Linked DNA regions of Arabidopsis thaliana. The protein of the gene in region 1 interacts with the protein of each later gene in a biochemical or structural test. Each region holds a gene or a part of one and is shown on either strand. Other genes may lie near its edges. The genes, in order: AT4G39270, AT1G05700, PSY1R and AT1G51820.

The links.
Region 2: the proteins of AT4G39270 (region 1) and AT1G05700 form a complex in vitro, tested with the Arabidopsis thaliana proteins (one large-scale study listed by BioGRID).
Region 3: the proteins of AT4G39270 (region 1) and PSY1R form a complex in vitro, tested with the Arabidopsis thaliana proteins (one large-scale study listed by BioGRID).
Region 4: the proteins of AT4G39270 (region 1) and AT1G51820 form a complex in vitro, tested with the Arabidopsis thaliana proteins (one large-scale study listed by BioGRID).

The regions. Positions count from the first base shown.
Region 1 is NC_003075.7:18,273,849-18,281,112, forward strand, and holds AT4G39270 (Leucine-rich repeat protein kinase family protein), read left to right. Parts: upstream 1-2,462; 5' UTR 2,463-3,025; coding exon 3,026-4,920; coding exon of another isoform or gene 4,921-5,008; coding exon 5,009-5,137; coding exon of another isoform or gene 5,138-5,141; exon of another isoform or gene 5,142-5,217; coding exon 5,218-5,240; coding exon of another isoform or gene 5,241-5,278; exon of another isoform or gene 5,279-5,314; coding exon 5,315-5,862; 3' UTR 5,863-6,093; downstream 6,094-7,264. Other genes in the region: CCR1 (cold, circadian rhythm, and RNA binding 1), read right to left, coding at 318-719, 1,003-1,110; AT4G39280 (phenylalanyl-tRNA synthetase, putative / phenylalanine-tRNA ligase), read right to left, coding at 6,444-6,494.
Region 2 is NC_003070.9:1,707,523-1,714,646, forward strand, and holds AT1G05700 (Leucine-rich repeat transmembrane protein kinase protein), read left to right. Parts: upstream 1-2,210; 5' UTR 2,211-2,273; coding exon 2,274-2,361; intron 2,362-2,460; coding exon 2,461-2,998; intron 2,999-3,124; coding exon 3,125-3,600; intron 3,601-3,679; coding exon 3,680-3,818; intron 3,819-3,906; coding exon 3,907-3,978; intron 3,979-4,073; coding exon 4,074-4,145; intron 4,146-4,216; coding exon 4,217-4,763; intron 4,764-4,839; coding exon 4,840-5,029; intron 5,030-5,115; coding exon 5,116-5,305; intron 5,306-5,383; coding exon 5,384-5,723; 3' UTR 5,724-5,952; downstream 5,953-7,124. Other genes in the region: BT3 (BTB and TAZ domain protein 3), read left to right, coding at 287-505, 583-713, 790-1,404, 1,481-1,610.
Region 3 is NC_003070.9:27,216,029-27,223,115, forward strand, and holds PSY1R (Leucine-rich receptor-like protein kinase family protein), read right to left. Parts: upstream 5,238-7,087; 5' UTR 4,939-5,237; coding exon 1,651-4,938; 3' UTR 1,340-1,650; downstream 1-1,339. Other genes in the region: AT1G72290 (Kunitz family trypsin and protease inhibitor protein), read left to right, coding at 1-471. UniProt on the Arabidopsis thaliana protein: Tyrosine-sulfated glycopeptide receptor with a serine/threonine-protein kinase activity. Regulates, in response to tyrosine-sulfated glycopeptide binding, a signaling cascade involved in cellular proliferation and plant growth. Not involved in PSK perception.
Region 4 is NC_003070.9:19,236,025-19,243,980, forward strand, and holds AT1G51820 (Leucine-rich repeat protein kinase family protein), read right to left. Parts: upstream 5,942-7,956; 5' UTR 5,860-5,941; coding exon 5,787-5,859; intron 5,687-5,786; coding exon 5,161-5,686; intron 4,349-5,160; coding exon 3,873-4,348; intron 3,790-3,872; coding exon 3,645-3,789; intron 3,564-3,644; coding exon 3,492-3,563; intron 3,369-3,491; coding exon 3,297-3,368; intron 3,205-3,296; coding exon 3,133-3,204; intron 3,053-3,132; coding exon 2,871-3,052; intron 2,767-2,870; coding exon 2,519-2,766; intron 2,425-2,518; coding exon 2,298-2,424; intron 2,211-2,297; coding exon 2,145-2,210; intron 2,068-2,144; coding exon 1,878-2,067; intron 1,792-1,877; coding exon 1,383-1,791; 3' UTR 1,195-1,382; downstream 1-1,194. Other genes in the region: AT1G51823 (uncharacterized protein), read left to right, coding at 6,270-6,413; AT1G51830 (Leucine-rich repeat protein kinase family protein), read right to left, coding at 7,001-7,409, 7,500-7,689, 7,764-7,829, 7,922-7,956.

The DNA.
Region 1 (7,264 bases):
AAGAACTAATCAATTTCAAACTATAGTAATTATTGATAAGAAAATCATTTGAATCCTTTAGCTGCTGTTCGATTAAATACATGTGTCTAACAAGATAAATTATTTGAGGGAAAATCTCGAATCTGGTTAAAAGGAAACGTTATAAATTTAGTAAACAACACGCGAATTAACATTTCGTTCCAGACAAAGAAGACTTAAACGAAACTGTTTCATCAAAAAAGTAAACCAAACGAACGATAACCAAACCAGAAGTGGTGACACAAAACCAAATCTAAACCAAAAACAGAGCAGCAGCACGCAAACAACTCTATCTTTGATTACCAGCCGCCACCACCGCCTCCGTAACTTCCACCATCACCGCCTCCGTAGCCACCTCCCTCACGGCGTCCACCACCACCGTATCCTCGGCCACCACCGCCTCCACCAGATCCGTAACCTCCGCTACGTCTCTCGTAACCACCACCGCCTCCTCCTGAGTATCCGCCGCCACCGCCTCCTGAGTATCCACCACCGCCTCCGCTGCGGTAACCACCACCGCTTCCACCACGGCCTCCTCCGCCACCGCCGCTACCTCTCGACTGAGCCTCGTTCACGGTGATGACACGTCCATCGAGCTCTTTACCGTTCATCTCTTCAATCGCATCCCTCATGGCTTTCTCGTCCTTGAAGGTGACGAATCCGAATCCCCTTGATCTTCCACTCTCGCGGTCGTTAATGATCTGTAAACAAACAAAATCATACACATCAGCAAAAACAATCGTGGAAGGAATATAAAACAAAGCGATGAATATAAAGCAAAAATCGATCGATCTCCGAGCTCATAGAAGCAGGAAGATGAACGTACCGATGGGACAAATTAAGTAACAGTAACAAAGAACGAGAGAGAACATAGTAACAGTAATCGAATCAAGTAACAGAGAAACAGATCGGAATCAGATCCGTCGAGGATCAGAATCATCGGAATCGGCTCGATCCGGGAGACCGATCTCTCGTGTAACAGACCTTAGAATCGATAACGTCGCCGAACTGTGAGAACGTCCTTTGAAGATCTTCATCATTGGTGGCCCAGGCAAGGCCGCCGACAAAGCACCGGTACTCAACTTCAGACATTTTTTTTTGGGGAAAAGAAGAGAAATTAGGGTTTCAAAATGTAAGAGAGAGACTTATGTGATTTGAGGTGATAAGACGCAGCCTTAATTTATAGAACAGGTGTGACGTAATAACTAGGGTTAAACATGTTTTCTAGGGTTTGCTGAAAGATTTGTTTCAACTTACTCTGATTAAGATGTGTGGTTAATTGGGTTAGTGGTTAGGCCCACATCATGTGAGCATTTTCGATAACTAATGATTTTTTCTCCTCGTTTCGAGCAAAAAATATCTTTGTAAGAATATCTTTTATTCCTTAAATGACAATTTTGTCCTTCGTCTCGTCGTCATTATGTCATACAATAGTTGGGTCTGAGTTTCGTTTATTGGGCCTATCTAATTTAATTGGAAAGATTATAACTTCCGGCCCAATGAATCTGACGGCGAAATTAGTAAAACAATAAAATGAAATAATATGCAAAGACTATGACGATAATGTGCTATGGATTTACATATTTGTTTTGTCATTAATTATGACATGCAATAAATTCATATGAAAAGATTCTTATCGCAATAGCATCGTGGACATGTTACAGTCTGTAATATCCAAACTTTAGCATAGACGTTTTTTGTTGTACAAATATTTTGGTATGTTAAGTGATATTCAAATGAAAGCTAGATGTGCAGATATGTGAACATATAAATCTTTCAATGGAATTCAATTTTCAATCATTGAATATTTGGATACACTCGCTCTGTACTTGAAATATTTTGACTGTCTGAATATTATTTTTTTACAGGATTAATTATTTTGTATACCAAAATTAGACGGATGAAGAATGAAGATGTAGTAGTTATACAAAGTCAATTACAAATGGTTCAGTATCTTGATTTCGATTTTTGTGCTGAAAATGCTGACTAAAGCGTGTAGAAGAGCTTTTTCAACAAGAAATAACCTGGCTAAGATTTTTTTAAGAAATCTGATTATTAATATATCGCAGGTAATATGAAAAAGTATCGTCGACTTTTTATAAGAGTGACAACTAAATCATTTTGCTCATAATAAAGCCACAATTATTATTAGTATATTTTGGTCGTTTTAATACGAGGAAAAATAATTGTCATACAAAATTTACAGAAATGGAGTAGCATCGTAGCTCCTAGGAATTCAATTATTTATTTGCAAAACTACTAAAATGGTGGTTATCATATTAAACGTCAGCAGAAACTTTAAGTATTTTTGAAATGATATTAATTTAAGAGTTCGTTAAGCTGTCTTGGGCGGGATCGTTGAGAGTCAAACTCCTCAAACGACGCCGTATTCAGAACTTCACTTTCAATTACTGTATCTGCGTCTCGGTCACGAGATCGAACCATAAATCTTGGGAACGTGCACGTATACAACGAAAGATCCACCTTCTCTCACTTTTTTTATTTTCTTATACTTTCTTCTCTTTTCTTCGAACGGCCGCTGTTCTTGACCAGTCTGAAGCTTTCTCTGTCCAGAACAGTTCTGTAAGAAGAAGTTTTTATCAAATATTATATAAAAATATCTGTTTCGTATTATATCAGACTTTCCATCTTTCTCTCTCTAAATCTAGGACAAAAAAAAACATGGAAGAGTTAGAGAGAGAGAGAGGCAGCAGAAAATGATTGGTAAACAACAATGAATCGTTTTTGATTCTGAAGTGCACAGAGAAAAGTAATTGCCAGAGAAAGTCGCAGAGGTAACAGAGTGAAGAACCTTTTTTAGTATATATCTTTGTTGAATAATCACAAAAAGAAAGTTTCCTTTATTGATCGGATTCGAAGGAAACCCAAAAAAAAAAGAGATTTGATTATTTCCATAAATCGCGAAGCTTTTTTCCAATTGAATCTTAGGCAATGAATGGCTTTAAGTTTTTCGAAGTACTAGTCGTCACCAGGGTTTAGAGAAACCATGGTGGTTCTGAGGAAGACATCCTTGTTGGTCTTCTTCTTATTCCTCCTCTTGTTGTTAGAGTCAACGTTTGAGCAACAGACAAGTTCTCTGAATGAGAAATCGGCGCTTCTGCTGTTAAGGTCTTCTCTTGGGTTACGAAGCAGAGATTGGCCTGTAAAAGGCAATCCTTGTCTGAACTGGAACGGCATCAAATGTGATCAGAATGGTAGAGTAACTAAGATCAACATTTCAGGGTTCAGAAGGACAAGGATTGGGAATCAAAACCCGGAATTCTCAGTTGGTTCTCTCGTCAATCTCACCCGTCTAGCTTCCTTCAACGCCTCAAGGTTCTATCTTCCAGGTCCAATCCCGGCTTTGTTTGGATCGAGTCTGTTGACTTTAGAGGTGTTGGACCTTAGCTCCTGTTCAATCACAGGAACCATCCCTGAAAGTTTGACTCGGTTATCACATCTCAAAGTTCTTGATCTTTCAAAGAATGCGATCAATGGGGATATTCCTCTGTCTCTTACCTCTCTTCAGAATCTATCAATCCTTGATCTTTCCTCAAACTCGGTGTTTGGTTCGATTCCTGCTAATATTGGGGCACTCTCAAAGCTCCAGCGTCTGAATCTTTCGCGTAACACCTTGACTTCTTCAATACCTCCATCACTCGGAGACCTCTCTGTTTTAATTGACCTTGATCTCAGCTTCAACGGAATGTCAGGTTCGGTTCCATCAGATTTGAAAGGGCTAAGGAACTTGCAGACATTGGTAATTGCGGGAAATCGCCTTTCAGGATCCCTACCTCCTGATCTGTTTAGTTTGCTGAGTAAACTTCAGATCATTGACTTCAGAGGCAGTGGTTTCATAGGCGCTTTACCGTCCAGGTTATGGTCGTTACCGGAGCTCAAGTTTCTAGATATTTCTGGAAATCACTTCTCTGACATGCTGCCTAATACCACTGTCAGTTTTGATTCTACTGTCTCCATGCTTAACATATCCGGGAACATGTTTTACGGCAATCTCACACTTTTACTGACAAGGTTCCAAGTTGTTGACCTGTCAGAAAACTATTTTGAAGGTAAAATTCCTGACTTTGTGCCAACCAGAGCTTCATTGAGCAACAATTGTCTTCAGGGCCCAGAGAAGCAGCGGAAGTTGTCGGATTGCACTTTGTTTTATTCAAAAAAGGGCTTAACTTTCAACAATTTCGGACAACATGAAGAGAAGAAGAGTTCTAAAACTTCCTGGTTAAGCCACACGAAAATAGTTATACTTGCTGCAGTTGGAGGGTCTATATTGCTTATGCTCATTCTCATAGTGTTACCAATAACAGTGAGTTTCTGTGTCCGTCGAAGAAACAGATCATCAACAAGTAATCATCCTAGAGGAAGACACAACGGTGTTGGCCCATTACCTCCTGATGAAACACTTCCCTCAAGAGGAGGAGTCTCTATAAACTTTGGGAGTCTTGGATCATCATTTACCTATCAGCAGTTGCTCAATGCCACCAAGGAGTTCAGTGATTCAAACCTGATCAAGAAAGGACAATCTGGGGATCTTTTCAAGGGAGTTCTAGAAAACGGAGTTCAGATCGTTGTGAAAAGAATCAGCTTGGAATCTACAAAGAACAACGAAGCTTATCTAACCGAGTTGGATTTCTTCAGCCGGTTTGCGCATCCGAGAATAATCCCATTCGTAGGGAAGAGCTTAGAGAGCGCAACTCATAAGTTCTTGGTATACAAGTACATGCTGAATAGGGATTTACCAAGCTCATTGTTCTATAAATCCAATTCCCTAGTTGACAACGGATTGAGATCTCTCGATTGGATCACCAGACTGAAAATAGCATTGGGAGTAGCAGAGGGACTTGCTTACCTGCACCATGATTGCTCACCATCCGTCGTCCACAGGTATGAAAAACCATTCCTTTTACTCTTTTTTTACTTTCAAGCCACCATTAGTTCATTACTGATCTTGAGTCTTCCAATGTTCAATAAGGGATATTCAAGCAAGTAGCATTCTCTTGGATGATAAGTTTGAAGTTAGGCTTGGAAGCTTTAGCAAAGCTTGTCATCAAGAAAACAATGGCCGTCCACGGAAAATAGCCCGATTGCTCAGACTATCCCAGTAAGTGCCTCTGATTCATCATATAACCAATTTTGATTTAAACATCTAACAAACAAGCTTGCTACTGTTTCCCTCTTCAGGTCTTCTCAAGAAAGTGTTCCTGGTGAGTTTATCTTCAAATGCATAAAACAAGCTTGCTAATTTCTTAACTATTCTAACAATCCCTAAAATTCCCAGGGTCTGCAGCTACAGCAACATGTGCCTACGATGTGTACTGCTTCGGCAAGATACTTCTGGAGCTTATCACAGGGAAACTCGGAATCAGCTCATGTAAAGAAACCCAATTCAAAAAAATCCTAACCGAGATCATGCCTTACATTTCATCGCAAGAGAAAGAACCCGTAATGAACATTCTAGACCAATCTCTTCTGGTCGACGAAGACCTCTTAGAAGAAGTCTGGGCAATGGCAATCGTCGCTAGATCTTGTCTTAACCCAAAACCAACGAGACGGCCGCTTATGAGACACATAGTACAAGCCTTGGAGAATCCACTGAGAGTTGTGAGAGAAGACAGCAGCGAATCTGAGAGATTCCGTACGACTGGATCTTCGAGAGGATCTTCGAGTAGCGGTCGAATATTTGGTAGTTGGAGACAGAGCGTGTCTGATCCTGTCGCAGCGGGAACAAGTAGCCTTCTGTCTCAGGCGGAGGGTTTAGCGACTGGATCGTCAGCGAGAGGAAGTAGCCGTGGCGCGTCGAGTCGACGGAGTATGAAAGATGTATAGAAAGAAAGACACACACACACACGATCAATATTTATTTTTTGACGTCAATTTTTAATTATTTTTTATGTGTGGTTATGATTTGATCTCTTGTTGATAAAAAATTCCCGTTAATTTATAATATTTTTCGATGATCAAACCAGACCAGTCTTTTGAGTTTTGATATTCTCGGGTAGCAAACTAGCAATTCGTTTTGTATGGGGTGGGAATCGAAATGTTTTATACTTTGGGGCAATTATATAAAAAACGAAAAGTTTCTGTAATGATGTGTGAATGAGGCTAATAAATGGGCTGCTGTTATCTAACCACGTTGCATCTTTGCACTTAATGGGCCTCTTGGCCCAGTTACTTATTTATTTGATCTAAGTTCTTATTCCTTACATCGTAAATACCACCTCACAAACTTTATACCATACAAAACCAAATGCTAAGTGAAAATTAAATTTGACAAGCCAGATTGCAATTAAGAGTATACACATGTTTAAGATGGAATTGTCAAGTCCAATAACCAAAGGTAGAATTGTAAATACCAAGAGATAATCAAATAAAGTATCTTGAATCAAAAAGATAAATCAAAATATCACTCATATTCCAACTCGGCAGATCGGATTCCGTTTAATAAGATCGAGATCCACCTGCGACAAAATAATGACACATGGATTGAATATATATATTTCCAATAGAACAAAGAAATGTTTACACAAAGTTTTCTTGATAAGTGAAGATTTTGTGCATACCTTGTATATACAAAGAAAGACCGTATGTTTTTTCTAGCCTCTCGTCGAAAGCAATATTGAAAATCTCCTAGAGTGAATCCGAGTACTTGATGTTGTATACCTGAACAACCCACGATCTAAGATGAACACTCAATACATAAATTTTACCTTGTATTATACCCACGGCCGAAGATAGTTTGTGGGCTTCTAGAACCGTCGAACGGAGATGGTTTCTCACATAGTTGGGATAATAAATGGCTTGGAATGTGTTCCACAATTGATTGCATCGATAGTTGAGCCGTTACTCACATATGTTGTTTGAAGTCAGAAAGTGGGACCACCGGTCACAGTACATACATATTTTCAGAGTCACCAAATTTCTTTTCTAACGAAAACCACTAAAACCAGCAATTCCGTAAAGCAACAAAAAATACGTCTTTCTTAACATTTAATTCCGATCGGACTTGATATAAAATTTGAAAAATCTATTTTCGTTGGACGGAGGGAATATTACCTAATTATTATATGTACTGCATCTTAATTATTATTATTATTATTATATATATAGCTTTGTTACATAATCTGTGTTATCTAGATTCAATAATTACAAAAACCAAAACATCACGTAACACCAAATTAATTGAGAAAAAAAATATAAATATAGAAAAAAATAAAAAAAATATATTTAA
Region 2 (7,124 bases), on another chromosome or scaffold:
AGGTTGCATCAGATTAGGGAACTTGAATCTTGGTTACTGTAAATTTACTAGGAGAAACCTGAGATTGACTATTAACTCTGATATATAACTTATGTTTGCTTCTTGCATTTGATCTTAACAGATTAAAGAACACGTAACCTATTTTCAATTCGCGGGTTTGATTCCATAGCTTCTTCAGATCATACATTCTCGCAAGTGTTCGATACGGGAGTAGAAGAAGAAGAGTCTTTCTATGCTCCTGATCATGATGTCTTGACTCTGCTTCAACCTAACTTCACCAGCAACGATGTCTAGTAGTACCAAGAACATTCCAAAACCTCCTCCTCTTCCTTGTATTACCTACCAGCGTTTTCAATCTAGTACAAGGAAACCTTCGAGCTTAATGCGCCTTGTGCCTAAAGAAGCACTTGAAACTTGGGATAAGCTTTTCAAGGAAGGATCTGGAGCAGATACATATGTTGAAACCGATAACAAGTCTCACTTTCCTGCCCATTCAAGTGTCCTGGTGAGTTTTATTAACTGGTAATTGAGCTCATTTTCCGGGCTTACTGATCAATATTACAAGGTTTTTGTCTTCTGCAGGCTGCAGCCTCACCAGTTATAGCGACACTTCTGAATCAATCGAGGGATAAGAATGGGAATACATACCTCAAAATCCATGGAGTTCCTTGTGAAGCAGTCTACATGTTCATTAGGTTTCTATACTCTTCCTGGTATGTTCTATGTGTTACAAATGCTTTCGTAATGCTTGTTTCTCCTTTGAACCATGCCTGATATTAAAACCTACAGCTACGAGGAGGAAGAAATGAAGAAGTTTGTGCTCCATTTATTGGTTCTGTCACATTGCTACTCGGTCCCATCTCTTAAAAGACTTTGTGTAGAGATTCTCGATCAAGGATGGATTAACAAGGAGAATGTGATCGATGTGCTTCAACTAGCGAGAAACTGTGACGTGACAAGGATTTGCTTTGTATGTCTTTCCATGGTCATCAAAGACTTCAAATCTGTATCTTCAACAGAGGGATGGAAAGTGATGAAACGCTCTAATCCTTTGCTCGAACAAGAGCTCATTGAGGCAGTCATCGAATCCGACAGTAGGAAACAAGAAAGAAGAAGAAAACTGGAGGAGAGAGAAGTGTATTTGCAGCTCTATGAAGCCATGGAAGCTCTTGTCCACATATGTCGTGAAGGTTGTGGGACAATTGGACCTCGCGATAAGGCCCTTAAAGGAAGCCATACCGTGTGTAAATTCCCGGCGTGTAAAGGGCTTGAAGGTGCGCTCAGACATTTCTTGGGATGCAAGTCTAGGGCTTCATGTTCTCATTGCAAAAGGATGTGGCAGCTTCTTCAGCTTCACTCTTGTATCTGTGATGATTCTAATTCTTGCAAAGTTTCTCTCTGCTGGTAAGTTATATCGCACATTTCAGACAACGCCAACAACCTTAAGATACAGATGGTAATCGTTTTCTTAACCTTGTAGGAATTTCAAGGAGAAAATGAAGAAGCTTAGCAAGAAAGAACAATCTAAATGGCGATTGCTTGTAGAAAACATTATTAGGGCGAGGAACAGTCTCGGGCCCTTCTCGTCACGTTCTTCTGGTTTGATATAGAAACAGGTTTTAGATTTTAGTGTATAGCCAGTTAGACACAAAAAGAAAACGTACATAGGCGCAGGGTATAGTGTATATTGCGCACCAATACGGCGCACAATAGTGGTTTTGAACAAACATTGTCTATATCAAGTTGGTTGTTATATACATGCCGAGTCGTGATTCGTGACAGTAATGTGAAGAAGTTTTTGCATCATCACTCATTTTATGTTAGAAATTCAAATCAATAATATTGGTCCTAAACGACTTTATTTAGAGGCAGACAAAAAAGATATACATTAATGTTATTTATATCATGATTGTCATGACTTAACATATTTCAAGTTGAGTTATCTAGTGAAAATATATATATCCTAGTTCATGAAAAATGAAAATCAACCTTCTTGAGTGTTATACTTCTTTTTGTAAGGATAATAATTGATATATACGGCGGGTCTCTCGTTGACTTTTGATGGTGATTTGACTTTGCAATGTCACCAAGAGCAAGTAGCTAATTTAAATCACTTTTAACTTCCAATTTGTTTATGTTTGGTCTTCAGACTTTACGTCAGAATAATTATTTTTGTGTCTTTAAATGAAAACTTCAAACTTCATCACATCAAAAATCTCAACCCCATTTTTAGTTGTCTTCTTTTTCCTTGTTTTTCAAGAAACCAGACGAAAATGGAAGAGTTTCGTTTTCTCTATTTGATATATTCAGCAGCATTTGCATTGTGTCTCGTCGTTTCTGTTCTTGCTCAAGACCAATCAGGTTTTCTTAACTGATTCATTTATCTTTCAAACTATTTTCTAGTGAAGAAAGTCTAATCCTTTATTCTTTTCATAACTTTAACTCGTTGCGTGATCACAGGTTTCATAAGCATCGATTGTGGAATTCCAAGTGGATCATCGTACAAAGACGACACAACAGGTATAAACTACGTCTCAGATTCATCCTTTGTCGAAACCGGAGTCTCCAAATCGATCCCTTTCACAGCTCAAAGACAGCTTCAAAACCTGAGGAGCTTTCCCGAAGGTTCAAGAAACTGCTATACATTGATTCCAATACAAGGGAAGGGCAAGAAATATCTCATAAGAGCTAGTTTCATGTACGGTAACTACGATGGAGAAAATGGTTCACCGGAGTTTGATCTGTTTCTTGGTGGCAATATTTGGGATACCGTCTTGCTCAGCAATGGGTCGAGCATTGTTTCCAAAGAAGTCGTTTACTTGAGCCAATCTGAGAACATATTTGTGTGTTTGGGAAACAAAGGCAAAGGAACTCCATTTATCTCGACTTTAGAGCTTAGGTTTCTCGGGAACGACAATACGACATATGATTCTCCAAACGGTGCTCTCTTCTTCTCTAGACGCTGGGACTTACGCTCTCTCATGGGTTCACCTGTTAGGTAAAGCTCTGTTTCTTGCTCTGTTTCGTGCTCTGTTTCATACTCTGTTTGATGCTCTGTTTCGTTAGCTCAAAGTTTACTTTTTACCAGTTGAAACTTGAAATCTGAAGCTTTTTTGTGGATCAGATATGATGATGATGTGTACGACAGAATCTGGATACCTCGCAACTTTGGCTATTGTAGAGAGATCAATACCTCACTCCCCGTGACCTCAGACAATAATAGTTATAGTCTTTCAAGTTTGGTGATGAGCACAGCGATGACTCCAATAAACACAACAAGACCCATCACAATGACTTTGGAAAACAGTGATCCAAATGTCAGGTACTTTGTCTACATGCACTTCGCAGAGGTTGAAGATCTTAGTCTCAAACCGAACCAGACAAGAGAGTTCGACATCAGCATTAACGGAGTGACAGTTGCTGCTGGATTCAGCCCCAAGTATCTTCAGACAAACACGTTTTTTCTAAACCCTGAGAGCCAATCGAAAATTGCGTTTTCACTCGTTCGAACCCCAAAGTCCACTCTTCCGCCAATTGTTAACGCTCTAGAGATCTACGTCGCAAATAGTTTCTCGCAGTCTCTCACTAACCAAGAGGATGGTCTGTGCTAGTATAACATGACTAGCAAAGTTCAATCTTTTTTCTCAGTTTGATCAATGCATTCAATTGAAACTTACAGGTGACGCGGTTACGAGTCTAAAGACGAGTTATAAAGTGAAGAAGAACTGGCACGGAGATCCTTGTTTGCCTAATGACTACATTTGGGAGGGCCTTAATTGCAGTTATGATAGTCTTACTCCTCCAAGAATCACATCACTGTAAGTGTAGTCTAATTTTAATCGCTTCTTGATCAGTCGGTGGATTTTCTATATTGAGTAGGAAAAAAATTTACACTATTGGAGGCAGGAACTTATCATCAAGCGGGTTAACGGGTCATATATCTTCCTCCTTCTCTAACCTCACAATGATTCAAGAGCTGTGAGTTTACCTAATTCAAGATTCTGATGATACCTATAATTTTGTATTTTGTTAAAGAGTTTTTTCTGACTTGAACAAGACAACTCTATTATCAGAGACTTATCAAACAATGGCTTAACCGGAGACATTCCGGAGTTCCTCTCAAAACTGAAGTTCTTGAGGGTTTTGTAAGTTCTGGACATATCTTAACAAATGAGATCGATAATTATGGACTCTTAACTCTTAACAACATCTGCAGAAATCTAGAAAATAACACTCTTACCGGTTCAGTTCCATCCGAGTTATTAGAAAGATCAAACACCGGATCATTCTCGCTAAGGCTAGGAGAAAATCCAGGACTCTGTACTGAGATTTCTTGCAGAAAAAGCAACAGCAAAAAACTCGTTATCCCGCTTGTCGCATCATTTGCAGCATTGTTCATCCTCTTGTTATTGTCTGGTGTGTTTTGGAGAATCAGAAACCGGAGAAACAAGTCCGGTACAATTACAAATCTATCTCTATATCTTTCCTTTTACATTCATATCTATCTGTTAATCACATTACCAATTGTTAAAACTTTCTTTTGCAAAGTAAACTCCGCACCTCAAACCAGTCCAATGGCGAAATCGGAGAACAAATTACTGTTTACCTTTGCAGACGTTATAAAGATGACAAATAACTTCGGTCAAGTCCTCGGCAAAGGAGGGTTTGGAACAGTCTACCATGGCTTCTATGACAACCTTCAAGTAGCTGTTAAACTTTTATCAGAAACATCAGCTCAAGGATTCAAAGAGTTTCGCTCTGAGGTATTGTAGTAGAACTTCAGATATGACAAATGATTCCAAAAAGATATACAAATCATAACCACCTAAATACATGTAGGTCGAAGTTCTTGTGAGGGTTCATCATGTTAACCTCACTGCGCTGATCGGTTATTTCCATGAAGGTGACCAAATGGGATTGATCTATGAGTTCATGGCTAACGGCAACATGGCGGATCATCTCGCGGGAAAGTATCAGCACACATTGAGCTGGAGACAAAGGCTTCAGATTGCACTTGATGCAGCACAAGGTATGATGAAACAAAGTGTCGATCTTTTATATACTAGGTTATTAATTAATCCAAAAGTTTAAATCTTTAACGAAAAATCTATGAAGGGCTTGAGTATCTTCACTGTGGATGCAAACCTCCAATAGTCCACAGAGATGTGAAGACTTCAAACATATTGTTGAACGAGAAAAACAGAGCAAAGCTTGCAGATTTCGGACTCTCACGGAGTTTTCATACAGAGAGTCGTTCTCACGTATCCACCCTAGTCGCTGGAACTCCCGGATATCTCGATCCGCTGTCAGTTTTCTCTCTTATGTCTGCCATATTTGCCAAACATGGAATCTTTTTTTAGTGATTGTATGCTCCGTTTTGCAGATGCTTTGAGACAAATGGGCTAAACGAGAAGAGTGACATTTACAGCTTTGGAGTTGTTCTGTTGGAGATGATTACAGGCAAAACCGTGATCAAAGAGTCACAAACGAAACGTGTTCATGTGAGTGATTGGGTGATATCGATCTTGAGGTCTACGAATGATGTGAACAATGTTATAGATTCAAAGATGGCGAAAGATTTTGATGTAAACTCTGTATGGAAAGTTGTGGAGCTTGCATTATCCTCTGTTTCGCAGAACGTCTCTGATAGGCCAAACATGCCACATATTGTTAGAGGATTGAATGAGTGTCTTCAAAGAGAAGAGAGTAACAAGAACTATTGATGTCACAACGCAAAGGGTGTAGAATAAGTCAAGGGGTTGGAAACAGAAAGATGTTGAAAACTTGGGAGTGTTTATATATTTAAATTTTTGAAAGGCTTTTTAAAGTTTGTGTTGCTAATGCTATATCTAAAAGCCCAAAGTAATAATGTAATGGAATAGAAAAGAATCCATAATAAATAGGAAAAAACAAAGAAAAAGTACCTAATCCGGTAGCCACAAGGAAAAAAGAGGACAAGAAGATGGTGACAACAAGACAAAGACCGAAGCCGCGTAGGACCCCAAACGTACCTTTTAAATAAAACGCTGATTCCTTTCGGACTTTTGCGTCGCACGGTCTGTGCCGCTGTCCCCACAAATCTCTATTTTTTACACACGCAATCTCTACCTCTGCGTCTGCGTTTCGAAACGTGACTCTTCTAACCGCTCCACGTGAGTGACTTTTAGAGCGAGTTTGGTGTCCGAAACCACGCGTGCGCGTCTCCTCAACGCCTGAGTCTCTCTATGAAGTTGCATTGACGTCAGAAAAATTAAATTTGTCTTACTTGAAACATAAAAATTTACAGTAGTAAATTATCATTTTCATAACACTTCATTTATTCTCTTGTAGTTAAACAACGGATATACTAATGAAATGAACTCGTTCAATCTAATTAAAATCTCATTATTAATGGTAGACGCTAGAGAATCTCATTATTGTAGGTGTTAATTTATGAAAATAATACATCACTTTCAATCACTGATTTGATTAGATTGATGGATTTTATATACAGCCCATGTTTTTAACCTCTCTAGTTGAAATTTTGGTTGATTTTAAAGAGAAGAGAACAAAAATTCAAAGACGAAAAAAGCAAAAAGTGGAAAGTAGAAACAAAAAGACTGATGGTGCAGAGAGCTGGTCAAATATGTTGACAAAATAAAATAACCTTACAATGTCACTATCATCAATAAATGAAAAAATAGTTCTCTCTATCTATCTATAATAATAATAATAAAAGCAACTTCTACCTGGGACTGATATTAACTACGAAGACCTCTCACTCTCTCAATGGGTTGTATAATAGCTGTCAAATTATGATGTATTTAGTCACAAGACAAAAGACTGATTCTGAACACTAAAGCCTAATTAGGGATTAGTCTTTACTCTTTAGTCATCTGTTTCATCTTTATTATTAAAGTTTGCAGGAGTTGTAGTAGATGGTGTGGGGGCAATATATGCAGAACATGCATGCTTCCAAAATGTCCTAACTACGTCACTTAAGGTTCCATTTTTTTCTATCTAAACTAAGAAATACTTATGTATCTATTAATCTACATCTAATTGGTTGTCAAAAAAAAATGTATCATAGAAGTCTTTGGAGCACATAAATAAAACATCTGGAGATTTTCTGAACATAATGTGAG
Region 3 (7,087 bases), on another chromosome or scaffold:
GCCATTACAGTACTTCCCTTTTGTCCACTTGGCATCACCCAAACACTTCTTCCCTACCAACCCGGCCTACCGGTTAGCTTCGTATTAGCACTTGGCGTAGGATCAACCGTTATGACATCTTCGGCTGTAAACATCGAGTTCAAGTCCAACATCTGGCCGTTTTGCAAGGAGTTTTCCAAGTTTTGGGAAGTTGATGATTCCTCATCAGCTCCCAAGGAGCCTTCAATTCTCATCGGTGGTAAAATGGGGGACCGAAATAGCTCGTTTAAGATTGAGAAAGCTGGAGAAGGAGCTAGAGCAAACGTTTATAAGTTGACCACCTTTTACGGAACCGTTGGAGCCATCCCAGGGGTTTGGTTAAGCGCACCACAACTAATTATCACCAAGGATACGGCTAAGACCTTACTCGTCAAATTCAAAAAGGTTGATGATGCTACTACGGCTACTAGCAACTTATACTTCCCGGGTTGATAATTTAGGTCTAAGGATGTTCCCGTTCTACTAATCAACTGGTAAAAATTATTGTAATATTAAGCCTGAGACTCGTCCATGGCCTAAAATAATGAGTTATTTTCAAATTTCAATTAATAAGAAAGAAAAATGTGGCCAGATCCAGATACATAGATGTTGAGAATCATTCATAGGCATTGCTGTTGAATCTGTTTAAGGCATGAAATAGTTTTCTTCTTCATTCTACTTTGTATCCGAAAATTTTCTCTCCTCTTGTAAAGATCTTGAGCTTGAGAAAACATTGATCATTCATAGTATAACTTGCTGGACAGAATCTAGCTCCGGACGTGGATCTCGTGACATCGACTAATCAAACCGGATAAATAAACGTGTATGTCTCTTGCTTAATTGAGAGATTAAGATATTTGAGGAGTATCTCAAGGTTTTATCAACAAAGAAACGTAACACTATTCTTTTGATCACGATAGGGTTTCTTTTTTTGGCGTTACTCTATATAGCTTATTTTCCCAAAAACACTCAAAACGACGACGTTTAGCAAGACATATATTATCCAATAAGTTTTAAAAGTCTAAATCAAAAGCTTTCGTTTCACAAAAACCTCTCTCTTTTTTTCTCTCTCTCTCTCTGTCTCTGAATCTTCCATTGATGTTTAGGTATGTCTCAGTTTCTCAGATTCTCATGCTTTGTCTTCTTTCGCGCGTCATACGACTCTTTCTTTTCACTCAATGTCTCTTTGGTAACTATGCACACCAAATGTTCGATTAAATGCCGCTTACAGACCCCACTTGAGTTATTCTGTTAGCATCACAGATTTTTTTGTTTTCTTAGACCTCTTAAGAACGGAGAAATTTCATGGAAGCCAAAGTTGGTTTGATCATACGATACATTCCAGATTTCTAATCAAATCCTTTTATAAAAATCTGCTTTTGATCATGTTAAAGCCAAAGGGTTTTACATAGCTAGAGAGCTACATGTATATAGAAATCGTTTGAATGTCACGAGCTGCATAAATTCCTGTTCTTTACATCATCAAAGCTTCTATTACCATCAAAATTATAATTTACATGGAAATGATGGTTAACATATGCAATTGACAAGAAAAATATGTGTATATTTACTTATGCAGATATTTGAATCTGGTCACAATGATGAATGTAGGGAAGGAAGGCACACACACAGTTACGTCTCTTCTTCTTCTTCAGGTTCTTCTCTGTTATTTTGGTTTTTCTCCGCTTCTATATTCTTTAGCCAGTCTACAACTTGTTGAATGTTTGGTCTTTTCATTGGATTTTGGTTCACACACATGCAGGCTATGTCAAGCACACGAAGCATCGCTTCTTCATTTCCACTTTCTCTCAGCAATGTATCAAACACTTCCTCTGGTTTCCCATCTCTTTTCATAGTATGCACCCATGCGACCAATTCTCTTGACATCTTTGGCCTGAAAACCTCCATTGGTCTTTTCCCTGTGAGAAGCTCGAGCATGACTACACCAAAACTGTACACGTCACCTCTCAAAGTGGCTACCCAAGCTTGTCCATACTCTGGGGGAATGTAACCCAATGTGCCCACTAGCTCAGTTGTTACATGGGTGCGATATGGAAGGATCAATCTTGACAACCCGAAATCTGCTACATATGCCTTGAAATTTCCATCCAAAAGGATGTTGCTGGACTTGATGTCTCGGTGTACTATGTGTGGTTCACATATCTGGTGCATGTATGCTAGTCCACTACTTGCTCCTCTCATAATGTTGAGTCTTTTTGGCCAATCCAGCTGAGCTGGACCCTCAGGATTTTCGTGCAGCCAATAATCCAGACTACCATTCTCCATGAACGAGTAAATTAGTATCCGGGCACTATCATGGACGCAATAACCTTGTAGAGCGACCAGGTTCTCATGTTTCGCCCTGGACAGAACTTCTACCTCTGCCTTGAATTCCTTTTCCATCATACCATAGTCTCCTGTGAGTTTCTTAACCGCCAGTTTCGTTCCATTATCCAAGGTAGCCTTATAGACAAGGCCAAACCCGCCGCAGCCAATTATATTAGCTTGACTGAAGTTGTCGGTAGCTTTCAAGAGCTCAAATATGGTCAGGTCTTTTACTTCATATCTACTGTTTCCAAACAACAGTACAAGACTTATGTCTTTATCCGACCCTGGAGGGACTTCAGAATACGAGCCATTGGAATTTATCTCCAGTTCAGCATTCTCAGAGTCTCCTGGATTTACTCTCCTTTTAGAAAGCACCAACAGAGCTAGCAGCACCAAAATCAAACTGACGCCAAAAAAAAGCCCAAGGACAAGCCCCAAAACAAGCGTTCTGTTGACCTTTCCTTTACCCATCTTTGTAGTAGAGTGCTGAGTTGGATCGCAGGAGGTTAGCAGTACACCACCGCACAGCAAGGGGTTTCCTTCAAAATTTGCTTTTGGGAAGGTATCAAACTGGGTCCCTGTGGGTATCGGCCCACTGAGAGTGTTGTTTGCAACATTGAAATATGACAGGAAATGGAGTCCAGTGAGTGACCATGGAATTCTACCGGAGAGATTGTTGTTGGACAGGTCCAGCCTCTCTAAGTTAGTGAGGTTTGACAATTCATCTGGGATGCTGCCAGAAAAATTATTACCTAGAAGCTCCAGGATATGGAGAACCTTTAGCTGCCCAACCTCGACTGGTATAGTCCCAGTCAAGTTGTTCCTCTTGATGTATATCGTAGGTGGGAGGCTGGAAAGCTGATTGTATTGCTGATTAGTGGTGACATTATTGGGATTGACAAAAACCGGCAGCTCCAGATAGTTCCGCTCTGTTGCATCGTATGCCTTTTGCGACATCAGAGCTCTCAGCTGAAACAGTTCCTTTGGAAGCTCTCCTGTTAGAAAGTTATCGGAAAGATCCAAGTAGAAAAGGTCTGGAAGAGTTCCTAGCCAACCAGGAATTGTCCCCACGAATCGGTTCATGGACAGGTCCATAACTTCTACCCTCTGGAGCTTGATCAGCCAAGCTGGTATTTCACCTGTCAATCTGCACGCACCGATACCAAAAATTTGGAGGCTTGGAAATCCATCTGACCGAAGAAAGTCTTTGTTGCTTGGTACCGTTTCGTCGTAAAAATTCTTTGCCATAATGAGAGTAGAAAGCTTCTTGCAGCCTTGTAGAATGCTGAGAGCCCCTGTAAGGTTCGTCATTTTATTGTCTGAAAAAGTAAAGAACGACAGGGATTCCAATTCCAGTACTTGAGGAGATATCTGTCCCGTTAACTTGTTGCCTGCAAACCTCATTGCTGTCATCATTTTGCATGAGTAAACCGTGGAGGGAAATTCGCCGGTGAAGCTATTGTTTCCGAGGTCCAGAATGCTGAGGCTCTGAAACCGGGAAAAGTCTATCGCCGATAAAGTTCCTCCCAGCTGATTAACCCGTAAATTCAACTTCACGAGTTTTGTGCAATTGGCGAGAGAAACCGGGATAGAACCCATGAGGTTATTGACATGGAGTTGGAGGCTACTCAGTTTCGAAAGCTTACCTATATCCTTGGGTATTTCTCCTTCGATGTGATTAGAGTAAAGCTCAAGCAATGTCAGTTTGGTGAGACGAGTAATCCCATTATCAATTTTGCCAGAAAGACGGTTGACTGGTAAAAAGAGTTGCTCGAGCTCAGGAAGATTGTAGATTTCTTTGGGGATTTCACCAGAGAGATTGTTGAAGCCTGCTCGAAGAACACTTAGCCTCGAGCATCTGCTTAATTCTTGAGAGAGATCACCGCTGAAATCATTGTAGGAGAAATCCAGTTTGGTGAGCTGCGGCGAAGCTGTGCACATGAAGGAAGGGATAGAACCCGTGAAGCTGTTGTTGCTGACATTGAAACTGGTTAAATTGAAAGCACCCTGAAGAAAAACAGAACTACTGAGAATTTCTCCCTCAAGAAGATTGCTGGAGAGATCAACGGTCTGAATTGGGAAGATTCCGTTGCTTCCATTGCCAAATGATTGTTGAAGTGGCAATTCACCTTTGAAACTGTTGTAACTAAGATCAAGAACCAAGAGCTGATCAAGGGCAGAGAGGAAACCAGGTGGGAGTGGACCAGAGAGACGGTTATGAGAAAGGTCGAGACGAGAGAGACGCTGGAGATCCAAAACAGACGACGGAAGATTGCCAGAGAGTCCTCTAGAGGACAAAATAATCGAAGTAACACGATTTTCAGGAGACTTATCACAAGAGATTCCTTCCCAGGAGCAACAATCAATGGACGAATTCCAATGCAAAGGAGAGACTGGAGATGATACGTTGCCAGAGAACCAAAGGAGAGAATCTCGATCCTGAAGATTACAAACAGCCTCTGAAACTGTAAGAAAGAAGACAGAAATGGAAAGAACGTAGAGAAGGACAAAGAGAACCATGTGAGGACTCAAAGGTTTTACTTGTCTCACAAAAGGACCAATGGATTTAGATCTCATCTTCTCGTCAATCATGGCGAGAACAAAAGAAGAAGAAGAAGAAGCTGAGAAAGATTAAGAAAGCTTGAAAAAGAAGAAGAAGAAGGAGAGGGAAAAGAAGAAACAAAAGACATGATTATCCAATCTGGGTTTCTCTGTCCGAAGCTTGTAAATGGCTCTCAATACCATCGTTGACCAAAGGGAATAGTCAGACCAAACAGAAGAAAACTTCTTGTCACACCCAAAGTTCACTTTTAAATTTTATTTTATTTTATCATGTTATCTTTCTGCCCTGATTGTGGTTGTGGGTATGCTGTTTTTATGTAAAGTTTTTTTTTGATTAAAAAGTTATATATATATATATATATATATATATATATATAAATTATTATTCCTTTTTGTAATAAAAGCTCAAGTACAACTCTCTGAATAGCTCTGGTAATTATTAAAGTCAGCCCTATATATCCTTACTTATATGAACCAATGAAAAATGTTTTACTTATTTCATTTGTCTGGTTTTGTTCTGTCATTTATTCATGATTAAGAAAGATTAAAAAACGTTTTATGTGATTTATTTTGAAATTGGGTCATTTCAATCTTTGGAGGTGGGAGGTGCATGCGTGCGTGCTATGATGTTGATCATGAAATTGAATTTGATCATAAAATAATAATGATGGGTACAAACATTATGATATGAAATCAAAATAAATAAATAAAAAAGAAGAAGTTGAAGAATAGTATTATGATGATTATTTTTTGTGGTAGAGGCGTTTACCTTTTGGGGCGGCTGGTTTAGTAGTAGTGGCTCGTAGTGGTGGTGGTGTTACACAACTTTTTTCTATATCCTCTAAAATTGTAGAATATGTAATTCATCTTTATTTATTTTTGTCCATTTCTTTCTTTACTTTTTTGCCTTATGGAGGATCTTTTTATGTTTAATTATGCCAAGTGGAAGCCACATTTAACATTAGATAGTGGTCATAAAGAACGAAAAGTAGATAAAGAAGATCATATGATAACTATTTTTTTTTTGTAAAGGATACTATTTATTTTGTTTGACTTTTTGATTTCTTAGGGTTATAAAAATCCTTCAAGCTGTTCATGTGTGTGTTTCTTTTCGTAATTTATAATGAGCAAATGGCGTATATGATAGCTAACAAGTTACTTTAAACAATACCGTATTAAATTAACTGTCTTAGACTTTTCAGAAATTGTACTTATTAAATGGCTATAACCCAAAAAAAAACATTAGTATAGATTTTGTGTGATATTATATTTATCACTTTCATACGATTAGAATAAGTCATAAGAAGTTACTTAATTTTAAAACCGAAATTGTGTTTTTGTGAATTATTGACGATCAAAAACAGTTATTTGGAGTGATGTTTTAAAAAGAGAGTTCTTCGAAGTCCAATTAAATAGAATCTATCATGATTAATGCGTTTAATACTTTAACTAGTGTTTAGGAGCAGTAAGTAATGATGGTGTGAATTTGTTTTTCTATCTAAATATTATTTAACATGATAGAGCTTACGAAGACATGGTAAGAATAGTTATCTCTTTAGTGGAATCGAATATAAAGATTTGACATTAAATAATACCGAACAATCTTTTGGAGTTGTGTTGGACCTCCTTTATGTATGCTTTATTTATCTCTCTATCATCTAAAATAAAGAAGGAAATTTAGAATTCTGAGGCTCAGATTGTTGAGAATAAACCGTAAAATAAACTCTTGTGACTTTATACAACGATAATATATTATTAGCTTTTCGATAAAAGACGATCACATCTATTTTAATGTTTTTCCACTGAATTTTTATTATGTTCAATCAAATTTATAGAATCTCTAATAATTTTATTTTCCACCTAATATATTTCTTATACTTATAGAGATTCATGTACCTCAAAATCCAGGTTTAATAAAGCTTGTCGTTTTCTGGCCTAGAATAGAATAAGGAAAAGCCAATAAATATTGTATTCATTTATTTATTTTACTTATAAGTTATTAACTTCTTAATTATTATTTTGCTATTTTCTAATATGAATCCATTTCAAAACACAGCACATCGGCATATCTGTTTATCTATCTTGAAAAGAACTCGTCCTAATTTGTTTTTTTTTCGTCTGACAATTTCTTCTTCTTTTTAAATTGAGAAAATGATTTTGTAAAAACAAATAAAATGGG
Region 4 (7,956 bases), on another chromosome or scaffold:
ATTTAAAAATTTTAAAATATAAATAGAAGGTATAAATAATTTGAATTTAATTTAATTAACAAAGATAATATTTAATTTGGAAAGACAAATAAATAGTTATATAATTATTGTGGTCATACCTGTTATTATCGCTCCATCATTTTTTGAGACTTAACTAAAACGCTTGCCTCAATTTTTGTATTTTATGAATGATCAAAACTTTGATTCTTGTTTTCTCTTGCAATTGACTCTACTATCCATAGTATGGTAGCTTTTTCTTTCATATCCATTTAAATGGTTTAAAGTGCATTTGATGCCTACCAAAAAGAAAAACTATCAAAAATATATAAGTAAGACTCAATATAACTATTTTAGAAACTTAGTATGCTAACTTTTTCTTTCATATCCATTTAAATGGTTTAAAGTGCATTTGATGCCTACCAAAAAAAAAACGAACAAAGATATATAAGTAAGACTCAATATAACCATTTTAGAAACTTTAAACAATGTGAAATCATTTACAAAAACTTACAAAAAAAAACGAAATCTGAAAGCTATTATGAGTCCAAACCTTAAATGAAGGAGACAAAATGATAAGGTTGAGACTCTTGCCCGTTTTGCCTCTTCTTTCATATACATTTATGGTTTGAAGTGCATTTGATGCCTACTACAAAAAAAAAAAAGAAAAAAAAAGTTCTCGATTTACATTTAGAACAAAACAAAAACATGTAAGTAAGACTCAATATAACCATTTTAGAAACTGAAATCATTCTCAAAAAACAAAAGAAAAAGAAAAAAAAACTGAAAGCTAATATGAGTCCAAACCTTAAATGAAAGAGACAAATTGATAAGGTTATGACTCTTGCCGTAAACATTGGTGATACCGTAAATGTTGGTGATACAGCAAGCCATCTTCCATTTTTCTTTCAGTAATTGAGTAACTTCAATTGTCAAAGGAAACAAACGCACTTGTGAATATGTGTGTGTTGTATCTGTGTAAATATTTGCTATTTATATTAGAGAAAATATTTTAATTAATTATTGTTTAAAAGAACTAAAAACGGAAAAAAAACTCTTATAAAATTGGAGAACTATTTATAGTTGTTAACTATTAATGTGCAGTCTAAAACATAATATCATGTCAAAATTTAAAAGATTTGATTTTGTAATTAGTTAAGAGAGTTGCAATTATGGTAAAAAAAAAATCATTTCAAATTGTAGTTTAATATGTAGTAATTTTATAGTTTATGACTATTTTTCTAAATATATGATATATCTATTAATAAATTATTTTAGTCAAACTACAATTAATGATAAATACACGTGTCATCAAAGTAAAGTGCCAAATGTCGCATTGGTAGGCAAAGTTTGAAAAAACCTTCTCTTATTATATAAGATGCAAACTATCGAGCGTTTGGGCTCACTTCAGTACCAAACGTCAAGCTCACTTCTATAGAACTCTTTGATTCCATGTCCCGACTTGCTCCTCCCCTTGCATTTTCAGAAGCCAGACACTCGTTCAATTCAATAACAACTTGGGACATGGTCGGTCTTCTCGCTGAAGAATGATTTAGACAACTCATTGCTAGTTCAACAGCTTTCCAAACAGAACCGGAATCATAATCTTCATTGAGACTTGGATCCATAATGCTTTGGATGTCTCCTTTTGTAAGCATTACTCCTACCCATTCTCCTATGTGTGGCTTTTCACGGCTTTGGTCGATCACATGTCGGTTTGTGATAATCTCCAACAATAGAATCCCAAAACTATAAACATCACTCTTTTCTGTCAACCAATTTGTTCTATGGTATCTGGAAAACAAAATATTATAACTTTTTTTTTGTCAAGTTTCTTTATTACTAAAGAAAAAAAGTATTTCTTAAGCAGTAATACTTACTCAGGATCGAGATATCCAGGAGTTCCAGCAACAACTGTTGATACATGAGTTTCACCTTCGATCAGGAATGATCTCGAAAGCCCAAAATCCGCAAGTTTGGCCTCAAAGTGTTCGTTCAACAATATATTTGTAGTTTTGACGTCCCTATGTACCATTGGTGGTTTGCAACCATTATGCAAGTACTCGAGTCCTAGGCCACAACAATAATTTTAATTAATACAAAAAAACAAAAATTGAAAAATACAAGGGGGCAATCTCTAAACAAACCTTGTGCAGACTCGATGACTATTTTTAGTCTAGTTCCCCAATTCAAAATAAAGCGGTTACGTGTTCCTGTTTATTCAAAGAACATATTATTGTCAAAGTCTTATGTTTTACCTCAAGACAACAACAAACAAAAAACACACTTTTGTTTTCTACCTGACATATGTTCTTTTAGATCTCCATTGGCCATGTATTCATAGATAAGAGCCAAGTTATCTCCTTCGTCGCAGTACCCAACAAGACCAACCAAGTTCTTGTGATGAACTCTAAGAAGAAGTTCTACCTAAACACCAAACCATAACTCACATGTTCAAGGTTTAGAAATAGTTGAGTCATTGACGTGTTTCTCTGAGAAAGTGATAAATGTGAGAGTTTACCTCAGCTTTGAATTGTTTATATCCTTGAGACGATGAATGGGAGAGTATCTTAACAGCTACTTGCTCTGTACCGTTCACGAAACCATGATAAACCATTCCAAACCCTCCTTTCCCAAGGATTCTTTGGAAGTTATTTGTCATTATCACAACTTGTGAATAAGAAAACCTTCTATTTTTCGTTACGATTGCCGGTTCAGATGATCTAGGCAATCTACCATCTGATGCTTGCATATAAGATGGTGGTGGCCCTAAGGTTTCAAGCGAAAAATGTAGTAAGACTTGGTACTTAAATTTGATATTTATGTATGTGATGTTAACAAAGGAATGAAGTTTGAGCTTATTGATAATATACCTTCAACTTTTGGTGACCTTTTCTTTCTAAGAATTAGAAACAGAACCAATGCACCTATAAGAACAGCTATTGAAGCAATTGATGCAACAACTGGCACTATGACACTCTTTTTCTTATGTCCATCCTCTTTTTTCTTGACACAAGAACCCGTTGTGCAAAGAATATGAGGATTGCCTTCGACACTGCAAAATGTAAGTATTAAAGATACCCGATTGCATCAATCGCCATGATAACATTCAAAAGAAAGAAAAAGTTAGTTTACTTTAACTTCATTCCTTTCTTCTGAAGAAGTGAGGGAGGAACTGAGCCACTTAGATTATTACCACTTAAGTTTCTGTTGGGATCAAAAAGAGTCAAAAATATTTTAACCAAAAGTTAACCAAGTAAAAAAAAAAAACAATTTGCAGTGTCCCAATATAAACTCACATGACCAAGAGTGATTTTATGTCAGCTAAAAACTCAGGTACTTCTCCAGTCAAATTATTATCTGACAAGTCCCTGCACAAAGAAGAACGAGCCCATCAAATATGATTCATATTATAAGGCAAAGAGAGTTGATGTTTGGTGACGAAAAAAAAAAAAAAAAAAAGTTGATGTTTGGTTAGCCACAAATATACTTACAATATTTGCAGGTGAGTAAGATTCTTAATGGCTTGCGTGATGATCCCAGTTAATCCACTTGAAGATAAGTCTCTAGAGACAAAAAAAAAAAAGTGTGAGATAACAGTTTGAAATTGACATGATTAGAAATTAATAAAAATTGTATTATCTTACAAGGAAGTGATTATCGGTGGCGTAGAAATATCCGAGTTTTTGCAGTTTAGACCATCCCACAATAACTGTTTGGGGACACATGGATCTCCTTGCCAACTAATTCTACTCAATCCATAAGTACCTTGAACATTCTTGATCCCAGCAACTGTAAAGTTTGATGATGTCAAAAATCAAAACATAAAACGTTAAGATTTGTAGATAAGATAAAGAATCTAAATATCGACCTACCATCATTTTCATTTGTCTCCATTTGCGGGAAATCAATCACGGTGAAAGCTTCGATAGCATTAAGTAAAGGAGGAAGCGTAGATTTCAGCGTCTTCACAACCTGCAAAATGCATCTCCCTCCATCGCATTGCCCTGGGCTTAAGTCGACTATGGATGCGGTTTTTAGCGGTATAGGACTAAAAGGTCCAAAAGTATATTCTCCATTCAGTGTCACATTGAACTCCCTTGTCTCGTTTGCCCTTAGAGCCTGAATCTCTGCAATGTGTACGTAAGAGTAAAACTGTGTAGTAGGGGGCTCTACCGTCCATGTAATGTTCAAGGTGTCGTTAGCCTTAATTGGCGTTGCGGCTTTTGCCATTACACTTTGTGGTAGTTCATAAGTAATACTTGTGTTCACTTTGAGATTTGTAGTTACTTGTGTCCATGAGTCGTCGAAGAGCGGGTACCATTTACGGTCATAGACATCATCCGGGAACCTGCACAATCATGTATGTATATGACATAACTAATCTGACATATGGCTTTCTATGGTTTCAAACGCACCAGTTATTGACATGTGAAATATTGTTTTAATATTATTTTGTCAAGAAGTATAATTTATTTTAAATAATTTAAGAAAATATATAGTAATTGTCAACACAAAATAATATAATGTTGCACATTTTTTTTTTTTTTTTTGTTGCTATTTTTGTATGAATGTAAAATTCTATTCACCAAAATAACTAAGGAGGGGTTATTGGTTTATAGATTTATAAGGAATTGGAAATCCAAACAAAAATCATTTGTTATTCAATATTGATTTTAAAATTCTAATTAAAATCATGTGTTATTGATTCGATGATTTATAAATACTAGTTAAAATTCTTTGTTATTCGTTTAGTCATTTGTTTTTGGATTTGAGAATCCAAATTATGTTTTAAATAGAATTGAATGGATTTGAAAGAGAAAAATAGAAAGATTCAAATATATGGGTAAACACATATTATTTCAAAATCCATATATCTTGATTTCATAATTAATAGAAATTTTCAAATTCTATATAAATTTAGAAATCAATCAACCAATAACACCCCCTAAAATACAAAAAATGCATCTTTGGTTGAAAGAATTTTTAAGAAAAAAAACAATTATTTTTGCAATAAATGCATCCGATGCATATTTTTGCAGTTTTTGCTAAACGAAAAATTTCAATACAAAAACTGCAAAAATAAATTTTAGATAATAAATGTATGAAAACAACTAATCGAGACATATGCTTATATAACATGAAATTTTCATGGGAGCTTACCTTATACGAGTACTTGAATTGCTAATATACCCTCTGAATAAATACTTCAGTGAACCGCTTTGAGTAACGTACATATTTTTCTTCATCGGTCGTAGCTCCAACATATTTATAAAAGGTATACTTATTCCCGTCTTAACAAGACACACCTGTAAAGAGTTGGATCTGGTCACAAGGATTATTTCCTCTATAGTGTCATTGCTACTCACCGTTGTCCACAAATTCGGACCGAGATAAAGGTTGAAGTTTGGCCCAACATTAAGACCATCGTAATTCCCATATACAAATGTGGCCTTGATTAAATAGTTGGTGTCGCTGGTGACATTTAGATTGTAGCAGTTTCGTACTCCCTCTGGAAAGTATCTCAGTGTCAAAGTCGGCTTATCAACGAGTGGTTCAAATTCTTTGGCGAGTCTACCGGTTTTGCCACTAGCTACTAAATCGGCATCTGATGTATATGTTAAACCCGTTTGTGGTGCATCGTAAGGAGACTCAAGAAGGGATAAACCACAATCCACACTAATGAATCCTAATAAGACAATAGATGAAAAAATATAAACGTTTCATCTAAGAAACCGTTGAAGGTTGAACAACACTTATATAGATTAAAACAACAAATTTGTGCATACCTGTTTGATTTTGAGCTTGAACAAGATGAAATATCAGCAAATAGGTGGCAATAAACACAAAATGTCTCTCCATTATTCTTCTTACTGTCCAAAAGAAAGAGCCTTTTCTTTAGATATCAAGCTATGCATATAAGGATATATGATTTTTATGAGCCACTTTTAAAAGTCTCAAGTCAGCTACATAAATAGATAATTGAGACCTTTTTTTTCAGGATGGAAAATAATTCGATTTCGATAGAACAAGTTGTGAGAAAATGACAAACTCTTTAGTTTTTTGGTCAACCATGACAAGAGGTCGAAAACACTCTCATGTACTTTACTAATTTTAGACCACTAAACCGTCAACGCAAAATAACACGCTTTATTTTGATGTTGTCGACGTCGAAAAACTAGGAATAATATCTAGAAAGGAAACGTGCATTAAACCATAACCTTCTAAGTTCTAGTTAATAATCTTACAGATTTGTTGAATTTGACTTTTATATGGCACGTCATTGTTTGATCTGTCTTTCTGTGTCTTTCGTTCTAGATGGATATGGCGTTTTCGTAATTGAATCTCCACCGTCAGAAGTCAACCATCATCCAGCTTGTAGTGTGTGTTTTTGGTCAAAAGGCTTGTATATGTGAAACTCGAATTCTTTCGAATTTATACATCATATATAGTGTTTTTGCTTTGAACAAAAAAAATAAAAATATATAGTGTTTTTGCATCTCAATTCAATCTCCAATGATTTTATATGTATAATTTGTTGGATTTTTGGTTGAAAAAATTCCTTATGATATGGAAGAAGAATGTGGATACTTGCTATGGATGAATAAGTCAGGATGATCAATTAAAATTATGCGTGTTCACCCGAAAAACCATAAGAAAAGGAAAAAGTGGGAGCCAAAAATGGATTTACTCATTTACAAGAGCAAGACGGACGAAAATGGAAAAAAAAAAAACGGCAATCTCAAAACATGATACCGTTCGGATTGAAAAGGAGTTTGCATTAACTATGTAAAATTATTAGTTTTAATTGAAAAAATCACTGAAGAAGTATACTTCGATTAACCACTAGGATACCTCGATTAACCTCAAGCTGAACACAAAATTTTGAGAGTAAGAAAACTTAGAAAAACATTGTATGGTTATATGTGGATGACTTATTCTCACATGGTGTTTAGAAGAAACCATTCAAAAATTCAAAAAGAAGCTGAATTCTTCATGTAAACTACCGAGCCAATGGGGTCACTTCGGTACCAAAGGTCAAGCTTACTTCTATAGAACCTTCTGAGTCCATGTCTCGAATCGCTCCTCCCCTTGAATTTTCAGATGTCAAACACTCGTTTAATTCAATAACAACTTGAGACATGTTCGGTCTTCTAGCTGATGAAGGATTAAGACAACACATCGCTAGCTCAACAGCTTTCCAAACAGAAGTGGAATCATAATCTCCATTTAGACTTGGATCCATTATATTTTTTATGTCTCCTTTTGTAAGCACTTCCCCAACCCATTCTGCTATATGTGGCTTTTCACGTCTTGGGTCTATCACGGGTTGGTTTGTGATGATCTCTAACAATACGACTCCGAAACTATAAACATCACTCTTTTCAGTCAACCAATTTGTTCTGTAGTATCTGGAAAATAATATAGAAAACAAATTTTATGTGGGTTGCTTTGTAATTGAAGGAAAAACTAAAATCCCTTAATTAAGAGGTAATACTTACTCGGGATCGAGATATCCAGGAGTTCCAGCAACAGCTGTTGAAACATGAGTTTCACCTTCAATCGGGAATGATCTCGAGAGCCCAAAATCAGCAAGTTTGGCATCAAATTGTTCATTCAACAATATATTTGTTGTTTTGATGTCTCTATGCACCATTAGTGGTTTGCATCCATTGTGCAAATACTCAAGTCCTATGTCACAAACATTAGTTTTTTACAATATTGAAAACTTCAAGTATATGAAAAAAGAAAAGAACGAAACAAACCTTGGGCAGATTCAACGACTATTTTTAGTCTAGTTCCCCAATTTAAAATGAAGTGGTTTCGTGTTCCTGTGTTTAAAAAGAACACTTTGAGATAAATGCTAAAGTCTTATATTCGCACTATAGAACTGATAAAATACAGTTAGTCATTATTGTCTTACCTGACATGTGTTCTTTTAAATCTCCATTGGCCATG